Linked DNA regions of Schizosaccharomyces pombe. Changing the gene in region 1 together with any one later gene gives a genetic interaction. Each region holds a gene or a part of one and is shown on either strand. Other genes may lie near its edges.

Region 1 (10,383 bases):
ACAGAAGGATGTTATAAATACCTGTGACTGGAAGTTTGGAAGAAGGATCGAAAGAAAATGGATACATGAAAGTAATTGAATTTTAGATCGTGTTCGTAGATGATCAAACGCCGAAAACTTTATAGTGGAGGAATAGGAAAGGAAGAAAAGCAAAAAAGTAAGAAAGAAAATTCGCAGTTAAAACAAAAGTGAAGAAAAAGAACAGATAGGGTAAGACAATACAAGCAACACTAGACGAGACAAGACAAGACAAGGCGAAACAATAAGAAAAGGCAAACCACACTCTATATAACTATGAGACTTTATTTACAATCAATCAGTCAACCGACAAAAATATGAAAAAAAGACAATAATGATAAAAGAAAATGACAAAATGCTTATTGAAAGAAACAAAGAACAACGATGATGATGATGATGATGATGAAGGCAAAGAAAAAAAAGTGTTATAATATAGTTGTTAACAAAAATAAATCAGACACTGTGGAATTACAAATAAATCAGTAATACTTGCTAATTGCATGAAAAGGAAAATAGCATCCCGTAATCTTCAATTGCCCTTCAATCAATCCACGATTTTTTAAATCTGGAAATTTTCGCACAACAGATTTCAGGTACAAGGTAGTCAACCCAACAAGAAAAAATCGTCTCTTAAGATCGATTTCTGCCTGAAAATACCGGTTTTCTCGACACCTGGATCTGTAAACAAAACCCCCAAGTTAGGGTCGCCAGAAAAAAATGGGGTGGTTAGGAATATTACAAACCACCAACGCAAACGACAAATAGAGAGCAAGAGCCCAACAAATTTTGACCACCGAGGATTTAATATGAAAATCGGTAACCTTCCTTACAGTCCAAATCAATTAAAAAAAATAATAATGTTTGGTAAAAACTCGTCGTAGTAGCACAGTAACTTAATTCACAGGGGTCAGGAATATAAATTGGTCAATGTGTGTACTTTATGTAATTGCGATACAGGAAGAAGGAAAAAAAATTTTCTCACTTATTTAATCACCGTTGTGTTTTCCTTGTGCTGCTTTTTTTTATAATTGGCTTACCTAGAGGAATTAGTAAAAATAGAGATAAATTCGGAAGTCCGAGGTGGCCGAGATATTTATTTATTTCACTTACTTAGCGGACAAAATAAAATCCTTCTCTAGTGCGCACGCGGAAATTAGCTTACCAAGCAAAGTTGATCACTATTTCACCTAGCCGTCCCTTTCCAAAGTCCGAGTCGCAGGGGCAGCTAAAAAGCGCAACGCTGGAACTCTGGATGGTCGGATGATAGAAAAAGTTGTAATTGGAGGCACATTGACTTCGGGTAAAACAGATTCCGAAATGGCGAGAGCAGCACTTTGCCATCCGCCGGCTGCAACTGAATAGCAAGTTCCTGAAAAGTGAATTTGATGTGGAATGGAAACGATGTTGCGTGCGGTGCGTGGATCAGAAACAATGCTGGGATCAGATGTCTGTTCTTGCAAATGAAGAGAACCCAAACCTAAACACCCACAATAACGTAATTCAACACCCCACGACCATATGGAATGATCGCTTGTTAAGTAAAGATGATGATGATCGCCATGCGCCAATTGCTTAATTCCTCGGTTCTGGAGAAAGTCGTGGATAACCGGGTCATCATCGACCTGCTTGGTATTAGCATGACCCATGTAAACAGTATTGCCATCGTCCGATAAACATGTGAAAGTTTCAAAGCTGCCTGCTAAATGCCAACCTTGATGGGGGTCGTGCGAAGCGAACCTCTTCAATTCTCTTCCTAGCGTGTGTTGTGTAGCTTGGTCCAGGTCTAAACGAAACACGGCGCCTTTTTTCTGAGGTGATGCGACAGTATACACTAGGAATCCTGCGCAGTGAACATAATCGTTCAGCACGAATTCCTTCATCGATGCCTCTGGCTGGAAAAGTTGCGCTTCACTTTCTCGTCCAGTGTGCCAGACAAGAAAGCCAATGCCCGGCACATACGCCGAATGCGAGTCCCAACCTGATTTAAAATTAGCAATTCTTCCGCGATAGGCTGATAGCATATTTTGTTCATCTGTCAAGCAAATTCGTGTTTTTAGAGATACTTGATACAAGTGTCCCGTCTCACCGAGTGCAAGACAAAACTCTCGACCAGCATGGATTTTCACAATTGGCTCTAAATCTCTCATCAATTCGGGCCCAACATTGTTTGGTACCCCCGTAACATATAAATTTCCGTTTTCATTTAATAAATACATCCCATAACCTCTAAATTCCGCATAGGGAATAGTTAGTCATTGTAGTGCAGTCAAATAAATTCCTGTATCTATGCGCTTACCCAACTTGAACCTGAATAGTAGAACGAACGTCCTTCCCAGTCAATGCACCAGGACGATCTCGAGGATACTGATTTGTATTGACGACGCGGCCCAAATAGTTTCTTATCTGTTGCCCCCATGAGTAAGCGTATCCTCGGTCTTTCCATACAGCATAGGGTCTTTTGTAATTATCATCAACAACTGGGACTACATTGGTGAGACCTTGGACCCGTGCACAAAATCGATGCCAAATTGTTTTGTCGTCAAAAACATACGAAAGTGACTTGCATGTTTCTGACAAATGAACTATATCTTTATAATCAAGATATGTACTAATTTCTAGCAATATATCGTAAGAAAGCTCCAGGAATGGTGATTTAGCCATAATGAATCTCGCATGGGTAGTAGTATATGAATACCTCTGAATATATACAAGGGAAACGGTGTTGAAATACGTCAAAAGCACATGTTTTCTGCAACTCTTAATAACTAGATACAATTGTATTATTTACAATTAATAAATGATAATAAAGAAAGGTCTATGAAACGAAGGTGTAGTCATTGCACGAATCAATTTCAAAGTCTATCAGCATAACGAAGCAGATTTAAGAGTAAATGATCGGCTTTATAAAAACCAATTGAGTAATTCTTGTCTGTTTTAAAGAAGAAAGCTTCTGAACTGCCCCTTTTTTTTTAAGCATTCATTGCACACCCTTTCCAATGAAGCATTGATCATACCAAAATTGTAAATTAAGGAAAAAGAAAAATAAGAGTATCAAAAATAAAGAAGTAGGGTATATAAAAGACGGCTCCTACTACAGAAAAAAAGACCACGCGCACAAGTAAAATATTGCTTTATAAAAACCAAGCCACAGTAGCTCAGAGTTCTTGACAGCGCCTTGCGATTGAAAAATTCTTGGAAATTCTAAATTAATTTTTGTTTTCCAATAGCTTTTTTTGTTGTTGCTCATCAATACCCAAGAGGTAAAGAGCGTTTTGCAAAGATGGAAGATTGATTTTCGAATCAGCCTAATTAAAAAAAAAAATCGAGTTAGTAAGATCATTAAAAACATAAATTTGTAAAAAAATTTCGAACATACCAATAATTGAACTTTGGGTTTAGCTTTGAACGCAATTCCTAAACCGGATTCGGCCATCATGACCAAATCGTTAGCTCCGTCCCCAACAGCCATCGTTTCGAGCTTATTTAAACCCAACTCTTCCCTCTTTTCACGCAAAATGGAAGCTTTTCGTTGTCCATCTACAATTGCACCTTGAACTTTTCCAGTGAGGAATTTACCATCATCGGAAAATTCAAGTACATTGGCATATGCATAGTCCAAGTCCAGTTGTCCCTTGACATATTCAGCCATTGGAACAAATCCACCACTAGCGACAACAAGAGTCGCACCCATTTGCTTAAGGCAATGACAAAGCTGTTTAGCTCCTGGAGTGAAAGTAATTTTGCCAATGACTTTATTTATGACATCGACGCTCAACCCTTGTAGTAGAGAAACGCGACGACGAAGTGATTCTTGAAAGTCAATTTCCCCATTCATTGCAAGAGATGTAATCGTAGCAACCTCTTTCTGGATGCCTGCTTCTGCCGCGAGCTCGTCAATACACTCTTGTTGAATCAACGTCGAGTCCATGTCAAATACTACAAGCTTCTTTTTAGTGGAAAATGTTGCTTCACTCAAGCAATTACAGTCTACATTCTCAGTAGCAGAAATGCGGTTACAAGCGTCTTTAGCATCTTCAAACGTTCCTTTAAGTTGGCCTGATACTAAAGTCCACTGTTCCCCCAGAGAACGAGTCTTCCCATCTCTAAACAAGGAGGAAATCTGTTCAAGCACATTTGGACGATTTGAGGAAACAACTATGGCTGCGTTGACCATGCTTATTAAAAGGTATGAGTGGGTTTGCTAAATTTTCTAAGTTGAAAAGCGTTGTTTTCGGCAAGTCCCATTTACTAATTACTCGGCTATTGATTAAGCTTAACGTTAAACGACAACAAGTACTAGGTCAATTTAAGTTATTTGAAAATCTCAAACAAGCTTATTTTTTGTTATTGTTTACAAATTTATCATTATCTTCAAAATGCTGTATAAATTGTGAAGTTGGTAAAGTGGTGCCTAAACTCCGTTTTCAAACACAGGTTAATAAGCAAATATTTTTTTTATACATTAAAGCAATAAAGCAAGAAATCATAACTAAGAAGATGTTTGGAAATATTGCAATATATCAGGGCAAATATTCCAAAAATGAGAGCCTACCATAAAGTAGAGAGTGAGATATTTGTAAAGTGAAAAAGCACTAAAAAAATATTTGGCAATGTAATAATTGTTCTCTTTCATTCCTAAAAGGTTATACACAATTTAATGTGCTTTACTTAGAGAATCGCTCAAGTACCTCTTCTGATACACCTTTAACGGGAAAAGTGCTGTATTGAATAGCAGAAGGTGCCTTTCGAGGTTCTTTACTCCTATCTCCTCGAGGATAATACTTGTAGCTATAATCAAGACTCTCATCACTTTTTCCGCTACTGCTTTTGGTGTCTTCCCAGGGGTGAGCATTTTTTGAAGGAATTCGGACTTGATCTTCATGTTGTACCAACAAGCCCCGCTGTCCTAAAAAACTGTTAGCTACAATCATTTAATTTAAACAATCATATGTAAATGCGCTTGTAAAATAAATATTCTGTAGGAAAATTTTAACAGAATATTAAAATTGAGTATAATGTTTCATTAACTGCGCTGATTTCTAATTTTCTACTAATTTTTAACATACCAAGCATATAACCAGCAACTCCAAAGGTATAAGTCATGACACACCAAGTTATCTAACAGCAAACTGATCAGCTTACGAAATAATCAACTCAATATATTTTTCAAAAAAAAATTGAGCTTACAAATAGTTCTGGATATTCTCTTGACCAGCGAACCAGGCGGTTCGACATAATTGAGCGCATAATTGACATGATGGTTCCAAAAATAAAAAGTTCTTGTTCGCTTGAATAGTTTGATTAATTGTTTCGAGATGGAAAGGATCTAAAATCCTTTTATGATTGTAAATGTCAAAATGAAATACGTAGGCGAACATTCGCAACATTTATGACAAGCATCAATATTTATGGGGATCGCCACCTGACGCAGACAAGACGTAGCAACGGTGCGCATTAAGAGATTCAAATTTGAATGGATAATAATATCATAATAATCACCAACTCCTTCTACTAAAGTGGTGAAAGAAGCAACTTTCCAATATTTCTAGATTTTCCAGCGTTTGCAATCGGGATCGAACCGCCCTTGTATTTATATTGCTTTATACAGTTTTATAATACTTTTCAGATACTACCTCTACCCTTGTATTATACTATAGAATTTGTTAGGACACTTATTTACTAAACTTTTCCTAAGATTATATTTGTAAATAATAAGAAGAGAACACTAAAAAACTTCGCAAACAAATAAAAATGGTTCGTACCATTATAAATAAATATAGTCATTTTTCAAAATTTAGCTGCCATGAGGTTAGTAACTTAATAGTAGTTGCTGACCGCAAATGTTTCTCCAGTAAAGTAGGTCCAATGTACAAGTACGTTTAAAAGCGTCATTGAGATTTTCTAAGGAATAAGAATTTAATTCATTTCCCTTTAAAACAGGAAATAAAACCAAAGGACCGCTTGGAGTCATGCATATTGAGGAATAACAATCTAATTCGATAATCTTGTGAACTACATTTCCACTAAATACAGTGAATGAAGCCAGGATGGTTTTTCTTAGATGTAGATTAGTAATAATTTTTCTTCAAAATTTCATCCATAACTGACCATATACCGTGTTTCTTGAGTTATTTGTTTACAAGCCATAGAGGTTATTGGGTTATTTCGGGGCTAGTGAAAGTATAGAGATGATCCTTTAAATTAGCCCTTTCATTAATAGCTTCGCGATAATCATAATTTCAATAGTTGCAACACTCTAATAAACTTTTAAGATCTTTTTTCGTTGCTTCCGTACCTTCATTTCTAATATTTTCTCAATTACACCCTCCCATTATTTTCCTGCTAGTTATTTAGCCATTTTAAAAAAAAAAAAAAAAAAAAAAAACATAATACACAAGATGAAAATGGTTTACTAGCTAGTCTACTTCCCATGATATTGGTCTTTTATCTTAGTCTTTGGAGTCTTTATCGAGTCATATATTACTAATTTTTCCATATATTATCCACTTTCTTTACAAACCCGAAATTGCACGGATAGTATAATTTATTAAACTTGATTTTTCTAACTTTGAGCCCTGAATTGTTGTACTGACAGGATGTTCCAATTACAGTATCGATGAAATATATTTAAATAAAAAGTTTGAAAAATATAAATACTAATATATTGGCACTCTTAAATAATTTTTTTTACATTTTATTCGTAAAAAAAAAATAAGTACTTTATTTATTATTATTAATTTTATTTCTTCGGTTAGTATTTTTTTTTTTAGCATTTCATTTCATATTCTGTTTTTATTTCCCTTCTCTTTTTAATACACTCTCATCGATTAAATAGGCGCCATTCCAAATATTAGTTATTAGAGTCACATTCTCTAATTGTTTATTTATTTTGATTTCTTTATTTGCTTAGTAAACAAACTTTGGCGGATGCTAATATTTACTTCACCCTCCATCGCAAAAGGGGTTCATATCCTTACCGACAACAAAACTACAAGATATAATACCAGGTGTAAAAATAGCTGTTTCTTTGCCATGTTTGTTGTTTAGAGAATATAATCATGAGCTATGAGAAACACAGTGATGCTAAGGCATCCCGCTACGCGTGGAATCAGCCATGGAATCCATTTGAGGTGACTTTGTCTGATCCAACGTATCCCATGAATTTGGAAGAAAAGAACCAAATTCCTTATAGATTTCAATCCGTTCCTGATGATGTTCCGGAAGTACCGCATATTGAAAGCCGATATAAGAATTTACCAGGAAACAATATCTATTTATGTTGTGGTCGATTGCAAATGTCATCTCAGTACAAAGCTTTCCTCATTAGCTTGTTTGCCTTGATTCTTCCAGGAGTCCTTTTCTTCATCTTTTCTGCTTTTTGGCTCTGGCATCATGTCTCTCCCGCTGTCCCTATTACCTTTGCTTACCTGTATGCCTTAGCCGTTGTTTCCATGTTCAAGTGCTCGACTGCTGATCCAGGAATTCTTCCTAGAAATGCATATTCTTTAACTTATAACCCTGCCCATCCCTGGTCTGTAATTCCTGAAGACCGTAAAGTCCTTGTTGGATCCACTCGGTCTGACTCTGTCTTTGTTAATACAGTTTATTGCCATACGTGCCACTTATATCGTCCTCCACGTGCAAGCCATTGTCATTTATGTGATAATTGTGTTGAATACCTTGATCATCACTGCATTTGGTTAAACACTTGCATTGGTCGTCGAAACTACAGATATTATTTTATTTTTTTGTTATCTGTCGTTCTTTCAGCTTTGTATCTAACTGGATTGGGGTTCTATACTTCTATAGGAAGTTTTCATGAATCCACAGATACAAATTTTGCGGCGCATCTTCGTCGTCCATGGGCTGGCGTATCTTTCTTCCTTGGCATTTATGGGGCACTTGGAGCAATACTTCCTGGCATCCTTTTCTGTTACCAGTGCTATTTAATATCTGTTGGTCAGAATGTTCATGAATACTTACGAGCAAAGAGTACAGAAACTGAAGATGTACATCCTTTTCATGACAGCATATGGCTCAATTTTCTGGTTGTCCTTTGTCGTCCTAAAAATGTGAGTTACGTTCGTCCCACTAGGAAGTCTTACGTGTAATATGCCTTGGCTTCACAAAGAAAATAAGAAATAAAAATTTTTTATTTGCTAGACAATAATGCTCAAATCGCTCACGCATATATGCTACACTCTTTCATCTTCCCCTTACCAATTTACTTTTCAGTACCGAAATTAATTTGGTTTTAATAACCGGAATAAAAAAGATTACTCCCCTCTTCAAAATTTTTACCTGGATAATGTTTTGTTCTTTTTTTTCATCCTTGTCGTCGACCCCTTCAGCTCGCCCTTTGTACTTTACAGAGAACAATGTACAGAAACAAATGTTTATAAAACTATTCCTTGTTCTCACCAATCTCTGGAATTATTAATATTTAATTTGGCTGCTCTCTTTTATTTTTAAAGTAATGCTGCTTGTTTTTATGACTTATATGATAGATAGATGGTTTTACCTCCTTTAGCTAAACCCCTTTCCAGTCTAATTTATTGGGATTTGCTCTTTATTGTTCTTTTTTATTATTATGATTGCCTTTTAGGCAAATCAATGTTCCATAGGTAGATAGTTTTTCTTTTTTTAATGAAATAGCTTATCCACATTTAGAGGATAGTTTTCTGGAAAATAATTTGGTATTAGACTTCTTTAATTTGATACTTGAAACTTCTATAATATTAGAACTAGCTTTGCATTACTGACCGGCTTGTTCATTCTTACTCTGGTTCATGTTGCTCCGTTCCCAGGCTTGTGTTTTCCATTCACCCTCTACAACCATTCGGAAAGCTGGTTACTGTAGTTAGGCTATAAAACTAATGACAAACGGCTCTTAAACCTAATGTCTTCTTTACACGAGCATTTACGCCCCATTCCTGAGCCTTTTTCTTTAACTTTGCTACTGGGAACAAGAGAAACACCTGTCACATTTCTGTTCCATTATTATTTATACCATGCGTTGAAAGCAAAGGAAAGTACTTGTTTTTTAACATTCAGTAAAACCTTAGATGAGCATGCAATTAGTATGCGTAAATGGGTATGTAAAAAGAGGGATTACGATTGCATAAGTGGTTGAATGATAAACTATTCGTATGACTAACCTACTGAACCAATATTAGGGAATGGATATTAAAACGAAAAAAAATTTCTTCTTTATCGATGGCTTCAGCATGCTATTTGCTCCTATTTCCAAGCCTTCGAAGGTACAAGCACCAGAAACCAAAAATCACATCAAATCTGTTTTCGCGCCTGTGATCCAATGTGTGGAGGAAAACGATTTTGAATTTGAAAACTCCACGATCATCATAGAAGATATTGATATTTTACAAAGTACTCATGCTCTCGATTCCACAAAGATTCAGCAGGCAATTTTGGAATTACGAAAATGTTTCAGTAGAGTCATTGTAAACGTGACTTTGGGAGCTCCGTTACCACAACAAAAGTCTTTAGGCTCTTCAATCGGACACATGGCAACTAGATGTATTTCCTGTCGGCCTTTGACTAGCGGTAGCGCTCGACGAATCACCGGATTCCTGCGTCTTTCTCGAATGCCAAATCACTTTCGTAGTGGAATATGCGAGACCCCGGAGGATGATGACAAGGAGCTTTTATACGAGGTAACGGAAGCAGGTGCTAAGGTATATTCCAAAGGGCAGGTGACGCTGCAACTCTAAATTCCTACTTCATCTACTTTTTCTCAATTATCTGCTGCTGCAGTCTCTTCGTCTCCCTTCTTTTCCACTTGTACATTATCTTGCACCCACCGTTTTACTAAAAATGTTCGTTGAGGCCTGGATTCATCTCCTTCTTCATTATCCTCATCATCTTCATTAGAATATGTATCTACAACAACAGGAACCCATTCTCTGCTCCAATGCACTGCTGTTTTTTCATTTTGTTGAGGTTCCACACTTTCTGAAGTCCTATTCATTGTATATTTGTAGAGTTGCGAGTATCACAAGGTGCGCGCGAATTGGTATAGGTGTAGGTTTACAAGGAAGAACAAGACGCTCTCTGCACAGTGTGCATTGATTTGTGAATTTGGAATTAACGAACTAGGTTTGGTTATTTTTTTATTTAAAATAGTGCTTTTTTAATTTAAAAAAAATTGATCGAGCCAGTTTGGTATTCATTGAAGGTTGTAGGGTAAATCGTTGTCATACAAATTTTTTATCGCATTTTTTGGAATAACTACTGGGTTGGGTAATATTTTGAAACATCTTTCATACATATAGAAGACCGTGCTACGAAATTGTTAGGAGATATGAGTGGTATATCAAAATTAAGTGATTTTTGGGTTGAAAAATA
Region 2 (8,688 bases), on another chromosome or scaffold:
TATCGTTAATATTCCCTATAATACGTTGCCTAATATATCGTAAACCAGATTATTCGTTACACTCCGTTATTAGTGAATATAAAAATTAAATAAAAATATGTACAGAGGAGAAAGGTAAACAAATGTTTATAATAGGTATATTGAAAATAATAATTCGAATTTGAAGATAAAAAAAAAACGAAACTGACTAATATACACGTTTCATGTTACAATAATTGATATTGTAGTGTAACCAAAAACAATCCAATAGCTCAATAGCTTTGGAAAAGAACGGAAAATATTATCCTTCATCTAAATTATAGAGTTTTTAAACTGCACGACCTACGACAATAGATAGCCAAAAGGATAGCAAGGAAGTAGCGTTTTGATAGGGCATTTGACGAATTTGGGAAGATACAAGGAAAATTAAGTCTTCTTTGGTTTCAGTTGAAAATCCTTGAATTGAATTCAAATAATTGGATAAGAATTGCTTTTGAGCAGCAGGAGCAAGAACACTTACTAAACTGATTGAAGCTTTATAAAAAATAAGGGCGTTGTCAAATTCATATCGTATAATTGGCTGAAACCATTTCAATAAAACATCTGTGAAATAATAAGCTATTTCGATGTTATAGTATAACCTTACTCTCGAGCAAAGGATGCTCTTCAGAGAGTCGAGATTCAACGTTTTGGTAAGCAAGAAGAGACACCTAGCATGAACATAAATGTCATTGTCTAGATAGTCTTTTGGAGAGCCCTCATTTAGATTACAAAAAAGACACGCATACAGCGACGCGTAAACATAATGTTTGCATAATGTAGATTCGTCAGATTGAGATATAAGTTTTTCAGCGAAACTAAGACCTAATGATGATATTTCTTTAGCAGTGGAGCTTAACGTTATAACTTTCTCGTTGACTGTTTGCTTTTCTAAACGTCGACATATGAGATTTTGCCAATTATTGATAAAACTCAAAGTTACCAAAACTGGAGAGCCTGATAGCTTTTGTAAGTCTACATATCCCTCGAGTTGAATTGAATCTATAATGGCTTCCCGCACAGTTTCCGAGATAAACTTGGCTGGTTGAGCAACACGACTCAAGCATGTTGTTATTACAAAATCCAATGTAGACCATGATGATGCAACAAAAGAGAATAGATACTCCATATGAAACAAAGTCAAAATAATATACTCACATAAAGATCGGTCTGCAGCCAATACATTGCTTTTACGGTACTGAGATTTTGCCAATGATTCTAAAACCATAATTATTGAGAAAAAATTTTTTTTAACAAACTGATGGTCATTATATTTAGAATCAGAGGAACGACTTTTCCAAGAGGGAATCGCCTTGTCAATTAGAGTTATTAACCTGCATCATTTAGTCTTCCAGAACAGTGAAGTCAAACACTAACCTTTTAATAATGCTGATTTGCTGATAAGTTGATAAGCGTAATAACAGATGGCACAAAACAGCTGTAGGCAAGGAATCCCGCTTGTGTTCAGTATCCAAATAATTGATGAAACCGCTCCAAACAATTTCTTCCCATTTCTGAGACAATTAGTATAAAGTTTTTTGGAGTTCTATATTTACTGCTACTTACCAATAAATGAGGGAGTAACGAAAATGCATCAAAAGAAATATCGCTCGCTGATGAATCGACAGATGCAAAAAGTTGTTGCAGTAAAAAATTGGCTTCAAATCCTGAAAATTGATGCGTTTTTATCTGTTTTGATAAAGCTTTGCTAACTGCTCTTTTCAAGGGGTATTGTAAGTTGACGATATGATCGCAACTCAATAGTTTGTAAAAAACGCAAAGGAGACAAATTCTTCGAAAGCAAAGAATTTCATTGCTTGCATCTACCTCAAGAATGCCTACAATGCTTTTCACGAAGGATGAAAATGGCAAACCGTTATTCGTTACCTTTTTCCTGCTTATCAATTCAACCCAAAATGCAAAGTATTCAGAACGATGCTCATTCCAATAGTCCCATATTCTACCGCAAGCAATCAATTGTGCTACCACCAGTCGAAGGTTCTGTTCATTATGTAAATTGAGTAAGACATAGTGTGTCTCCCATAGGACACTTGGATTGTTAACAAAATGGATTAAAAACCACCGGACTTACGTTTCTAAAGATATCGAGTCCTCTCGTAACAGAAGAAGCACGTTGTTAATGGCTTCTTCCATAATTAAAACGCAGTGTTCTGGAAGCCTTATTATCTTTCGTACGATCACTACCACAGAATCAAACTGCAACTTATAAATTGACTTATACGGAGTTTTCTCATTTCATTAATTACTTTAACAATCACCATATAAGCTGCTGAGCATATAGCGGCGGCCATATCTTGCAGCATGGCGTCTTTTGTCAAATTTGCCAATACGACATTCTTAGATGCGCGATTTCCCCTTTTCAAGAATGTGTCTTTTGAACTAGCTCGAAAGCAAAATTGGGCCATTATTGGAAACACTGGAAGTGGTAGGACTACATTCTTGCGCGTATGTTTTGTAATTTATGCGAAGTGTTTGGAGTAAAAATGCGCTAAAGCTTTAGCAATTCATCAAATTTACTAAATCAGCTTTGTACAATTCATTTTTGTCCCTTAGTCGGAAACCAAACACTTTTTATTATCATTAATTACATGGTAGTAACTTTACTAAATTGCTAACTCAATACAGTGTATACAAGGTTCCTTTACACCCTCACCCTCCACTAGTTTTTCATATCCATTCTTGAAAGGCAAATCTGATAGCCCATGGCAAGCAATCCAATTGCTTGATTTTAAAAGTTCTGGACAGCAGCGTGCCGCATACTACTCTGAAAGATATCATTCCTTTAGAGACAAAGAACATGACACTACATTGGAGAAGTGGCTTTTGGGCGCTTATCGAGGGAATGAGAAGTTTGCTTCTCAACATGTACAAGAGGCCGCATCTATGACTCAGTTATCTCATTTACTTCCTTCGAGTTTAATAAATTTGAGCAATGGACAATCTAGAAGAGCGATGCTTGCATCGAAACTTGTGCAAAGGCCGCAGCTTCTTTTACTTGATGAACCTTACGGTACGCTGGCCACTAAGGGGTGCAATTTATGTTAATACAATTACTAACAGTATTTTTTTTAGCTGGACTTGATGTTACTTCAAGATCTGTTTTGTCTTCACTTTTAGGTGAAATGTCAAACCATTGTTCGCCAAAGATTGTACTTTCCTTACGTCCTCAGGACAAAATTCCCGACTTTATCACACATGTATTGGAATTGAAAAATAAAAAAATCACATATCAAGGGCCCAAGGAACAGTATATTCCTATGACCAGTCACTCAACTAACATACCTGTCAAGCCCCAGATGAAAAAAAGCAAGCCTATTACAATAGGCAAGCCTTTAATTTCCATGGAACATCTCAACTGTGTTTACTGGGGACGAAAAGTACTCTCTGACATAAATTGGACTATTAGAGAAGGAGAAAGATGGGCTTTAACAGGTAGCAATGGAAGCGGTAAAACTACACTTTTAGCATATGTAGTTGGAGACCACCCCAAGTTATTTGCTAGCAATATTAAATTTTTTGGAAAAAGCATTGGGCCCGGCACTGGAATTTCTATATTCGATATCCAAGAAAACATAGGGCATTGTGTAAGTCTATAAAAGTAAATAGTCTTTAAAACTAACGACTTTTTAGTCTCCAGAGATACACAATCATTTCCCGAAGCAACATACATGCTTTGAAGCTCTTCTTAGCGCCTGGAGCACCACCTTTACCATCCCAAAGTTAACCGAAACTCGGTTGGCAGCAATTAGTAGCATCTTAGAGGAATTTGAACTAAAGGATATTAAAGATAAACCATTAAGCAGTATCTCGGTTGGCATGCAGAGATTTATTTTGTTTTGTCGTGCTATTGTCAAACAACCTCGCTTAGTTGTTTTGGACGAGCCTTTCCAGGGAGTAGATACCAAATATGTCCATATGGCGCATAATTACTTAAATGAAAAGCTCTCTCCTTCCCAAGCCATGGTTATAATTTCTCATTACGAAGATGAACTCCCTGCCTGCGTAAATAGAAGGGCTCACATTGATAATGGAAAACTTGTCATACATGCTTGATGATGAACATCCCTATTGAATGTGTATAATTCTTCGACTCCTTTCTAGGATTGTTTTTTGATTGACCCCAAAAATTTGAATTATTCATCCCAAATTGTATTACCAATCCGATAAATTCTTAGAATACTTAGTGTTTCACGCCCAGCTTTTCTTTTTAAAGTCTCATTAACAATAAACCCATCCTTTTGCAATATTTCACAAATAGAGTGTAACTTATTGCGAGCAACTGCAACCATGTAAAATACTCCGTCTTGTGAAAGTATATCCTATCCATAAATGAGTTATTAATGTAAATATAAAGGTCTGACCTTACCTTTAATTGGTTTAACAAAGTGCTAGTGACATCCATACCATCGGTACCACCAGCCCAAGCCGAAGCAATAGTAGCAGCTTCACTTGGTATTTCTTCGAACTCGGTAGGAACATATGGAGGGTTGAATATTAAAATATCAACTCCATTCCCGAGTCTAATTCCGTCAAGGAATGAAGTTTGTACGGTAATGAACAACCCATTATCGTCCTTATACAACTCACGATTATTCAGAGCAGTTATCTTACTAGCACGACACGCAGAATTTGAGATGTCGGACATAAAATGAACTAGACATCAGCATATTATATTTTGTGGTTTGCAACCGTACCAATTGGCTTGTTTTTCAAAATCCCACTTTTTAAAAATGAGGATGCACAGCCAGATCCGCAGCTGCAGGTTAATATCTTCACGATTTAACCAAAAACCTACCCAATTTCCGCTGTTAATAAGTTTTTCATTTCAGCCATTTGGCGCAATTTTTTGGCATCCTTTTCAAGCGCATCGAGCAAAGCAAACGTGTCCTCTAAAAGTGTAATTAGCAAGCTTTTTTGACCTTTTATAACATACCAGCTGGTTCATAAACATCTTGAAATTCTTTTAGACGCAACTGGGATGTAACTGGGGTCGAAAGCATTCGTTCTTACGCGTACCTACTTATTTGAAGAAGGACGTCAGACTGTGGTGCAAATGATATGAGAATGTTTGATTTGGGATAGGAACTTTTGGAATATGATGAATTTTTTTGAAATTTCATTTAATAATAAATACTGATTCTAATTATAATTTAAACGTTTCTGTCCTGCTATGAACACCGTCAAAGACGAATGTATTATTCAAAGGAAGATATTGTTGGGCTAGTAACTAAAGTAAAGTTAGTCCATAATAGTATTTGTATAAATTTTTCATACCTTTATAGTCTCTTGAGCTACAATACCACCTATAAAAGATGATATTGAATGAAGTTCATGACCATCAGCGCGTTCTCTGAAACTATTAGTAAAAAGTCAGAATAAGAAATTTAGCGTACAATTCTTGTATAGCTGTGTAAACAACGTCAAAAAATTTCTCTAATCCAATTTGGGACAAAAATGATTGAGCAACGCTGATTGTTTTAGTTGTATCACTGAACGCTTCTTTGTAATTTTTTCCATGTTTTTCAAGTATTGTATCATATATGCGAAACGCTAAATACCACGGAAGTAAAGAATTTGAGTCAATCGAGGATGATTCGAGAACTACGGTCAGACAAAAGCGAATACTGTTAACGTACCTGAGTTTGATGTAGGTTGATACTCCTCTTTCATTGTTTTGAAATCCATAACCTTTATATTTAAACAATTTCGAGAAAAATGCTTGATTTCTAAATCGGTTATCTCCTCGACTGATCGGTTTAAACGTTTCAGCGTTTGTTGAACGTATTTTTTGAATTTTAAAATATCATTTTCAGATTTTTCTTTGTAGCTGAAATATTAGTAATGGTAAAAGTTAAACAAAAAACGTACATGACCTGTAGCTTTACGTATTGTTGAGTAGAACAATTCATGTCAGGCAATAATCCAGATAGTGGAAGAAATTCTGTCTCATCATAGAACATTTTGAGACAATGCGCCATGATCCAAAAGCTTTCAGAATCTTCCTGAATTTTAACGCAGCGAGTATCGTGTAAAACTTCGTATACGTTGCTTGGCAACTATTTCATATTAATTTATGCGTTCTAAAAAATACAAATACCTTATATTCCTTAAAAGCCTTCCAAGAATTCGATGAAGCCTCTTCGATGTTTTCTGAATCACATTTTCCCTTGTATTCCTCCATTATTTTTCGAAACATAGCACAATCATCAGCTTCTTGTGAATTTTGCGCGTGTGCTGGTGAGACCTTTAATAAGACATGGATGATTAAGACTATATACGGTATTTCTGACAGAGAAGATGAGTCCATATTGTCCAAATCCATTGATTTTACATAATTAATTAGTTCAGGCCACGGGTTTTTCAGACGCAAATCTTGAGGCAATTCTGGTTGTGATTGAGTAGCTAACTTTAGTTAGATATCCCTCTTAAATAGGAACTTACTGGTATATTCATGAGTCGAAATTCGAAGTATGCCGGCAAAGCCAACTGAATTGAAGTGTAGCAGAGGAATCTTGTGCGATCGAAGGTACTCTTCTAAGCGAAAAAGAGGTTTTTCCTTTAAGTTTGAGGATAAGACTACAGAAAATTTTGAAAAATACTCAATGTTTTTATCTATTAAAGCTTCGGGGCTCTACAAACGTTAGAGTATATCGTCCAAACAGCCATACCATCTCTAAATATTCCATTTCGACGTTTGGATTAAGTTGTTGCAACAAAGATGCCGTACAGCGAGCTCTGGATTTTCCTTCTTGGTCGTACTGGATAAAAAAGTTCATTCCATCCATACTGAAATCGACAGAAGTATCATCAACGACAGCAAAAGAGCCAATCCCTATTACGTCTATTTAGTATAATTTCTTTAAAATATCCAATACCTGGCAAAATTAAATTTTTTAAAGCTTCACACCCTACAGTATTTGCATACAAAAGACACACATGCGACTTCTCAATTGCGTTCTGTCCTTCAGCTTTCCAAAGCCGTACTTGTCTATGATTAATAGTAAAGGATTTAATGAGTTTCATACCTATCGTATTTTTGCATTTTCGCAGAAGTTCCCATACTAGTTCAAAAGTATGACAAAACAGCTGGAAGTCGTTACGTGTAAATTACAGGTATGTATGTAGGAAGGAAGAAGGATGTTAATAAGACAGCTTGAACAAAATCTCTACGAAAATATATCAAATGAAATAAAAATAAATTTGGCTTGTAACAATAAAAATGGTAATTAAAGGGAACCGACGATATGACTAGGCCGGCTAAGTTTGATATTCTAAAATTGTGAAGCAAAATGAAACTACTTCCATTAGGGAAATATGGGCTTCTTGAAAACAACTGTTAAACTTCTGTACCTAATCAGCTTTTTTTGAGTATATGGCAATAGTATAGAGTCGGCGTGATAGTGACTCAAATACTCATGAAGAAAGACAAACCAACAATCAAAAAAGTAGAAAAGTCAAATTTTTTTTGGTAATAAGATAAATACTAATTAATTGTTAAGTCTCTAAATTTTTTGCAGAAAAAGGAATGGTAGAAACCAATTGACTACATGTGTAAACTGAATGACAGGCTGACAGGCAAAGATAATCAAACATATATTGTAAGATTGAGAGGATACGTTTTTATCGCGGATGTCTATTAAATAAAGTAATTATTAAAGCGGAAACAAAAGAAGAACGAGAATTCGGCAGTAAAATAGAATATCAAAGGAGTGGCCGAAACGAAAACTTATTAAACGTGGGTCAATCTATGACGAGCTTCTTGAAGAACTCTATGCCAATCAGTATTAAATAGAACAGTGAACTGACAAGTAATTGCGGTGACACTAGACAAAATCATTCCACACCAAATCCCCTTTAGACCGGTATTGAAATATACAACAACAAAAACGGTGACTGGTAAAGCAAACAAGTAGCTTGATCCGATACTAATTAAACCTCCAATATACTGTTTACCAGTGCCACGAAGAAGTCCACCTCCTACAGCATTTAATCCGTCAGTGACAATAAACAAGGACAAGATAGGGAAGATGTCCTTAACGACTGCAAGGACTTCGGGATCACTGGTAAACAAGCTTCCCCAAACGTCTCTAAAACAGAAAATTAAAGACCCATCAAAAATGGATATGCACAAAGCTAGCGAATATGCTACTCGAGAGCAAAGACGAGCTAAGTTGGCTCTTCCTGAACCAATTAAGTGACCCACGCGTGTTGACGAGGCAACAGCAAAAGCGAAGGGAATTTGAAAAAGCAAAGAAGTAGAAGTGAGCAAAATTGACTGGGATGCAAGGGGTGCAGTACCCAAATAACCAGCACCAAGACTAGTCATTTCATAGGCAGCCCACTCAGTAACGATCATCAGCATTCCATGGAAAGAGAAATGTAACATGGGAGATAGATTTTTCAAAGCCTGCCTAGAGAAACCAGGCCACGGGATAGGGGTGGAGGAGAAACAAATATACAATATTAAACAAATGCTTTGAAACCAAAAAGTAGTAGCAACGGCGACTGGAGCACCGAGAAAGCCAAATCCAATTGTGGGATGCCATACAAGAAGGTAATTTAAAAGAATATTGAGAGGAGCAGCAAAGCATAATACATAAGTGATAGGGGTAAATATGCCTTGAGCTTGCAAGTAACGCTTCAATGCCT

The links.
Region 2: mutations in ser2 (region 1) and pex8 together harm fitness more than expected from each alone (negative genetic interaction), as found in Schizosaccharomyces pombe (one large-scale study listed by BioGRID).

Annotation. Positions count from the first base shown.
Region 1 is NC_003423.3:1,864,143-1,874,525, reverse strand, and holds ser2 (phosphoserine phosphatase Ser2), read right to left. Parts: upstream 4,236-10,383; 5' UTR 4,193-4,235; coding exon 3,395-4,192; intron 3,331-3,394; exon of another isoform or gene 3,324-3,330; coding exon 3,225-3,323; 3' UTR 2,777-3,224; downstream 1-2,776. Other genes in the region: SPOM_SPBC3H7.05C (uncharacterized protein), read right to left, coding at 1-67; F-box protein Pof9, read right to left, coding at 1,206-2,244, 2,315-2,679; SPOM_SPBC3H7.08C (uncharacterized protein), read right to left, coding at 4,683-4,924, 5,085-5,136, 5,206-5,274; palmitoyltransferase Erf2, read left to right, coding at 7,077-8,129; elongator complex subunit Elp6, read left to right, coding at 8,918-9,112, 9,195-9,749; protein tam8, read right to left, coding at 9,773-10,006; trm141 (actin binding methyltransferase), read left to right, coding at 10,340-10,383.
Region 2 is NC_003424.3:3,910,433-3,919,120, forward strand, and holds pex8 (protein Pex8), read right to left. Parts: upstream 2,192-8,688; 5' UTR 2,173-2,191; coding exon 2,111-2,172; intron 2,069-2,110; coding exon 1,585-2,068; intron 1,533-1,584; coding exon 1,396-1,532; intron 1,353-1,395; coding exon 308-1,352; 3' UTR 103-307; downstream 1-102. Other genes in the region: SPOM_SPAC323.04 (ATPase), read left to right, coding at 2,341-2,484, 2,665-3,049, 3,112-3,623, 3,670-4,092; eRF1 methyltransferase Mtq2, read right to left, coding at 4,173-4,358, 4,406-4,692, 4,734-4,795, 4,835-4,928, 4,973-5,039; NEDD8-activating enzyme uba5, read right to left, coding at 5,183-5,266, 5,314-5,389, 5,433-5,640, 5,676-5,866, 5,908-6,095, 6,137-6,441, 6,481-6,670, 6,708-6,871 and 2 more; SPOM_SPAC323.07C (MatE family transporter), read right to left, coding at 7,769-8,688.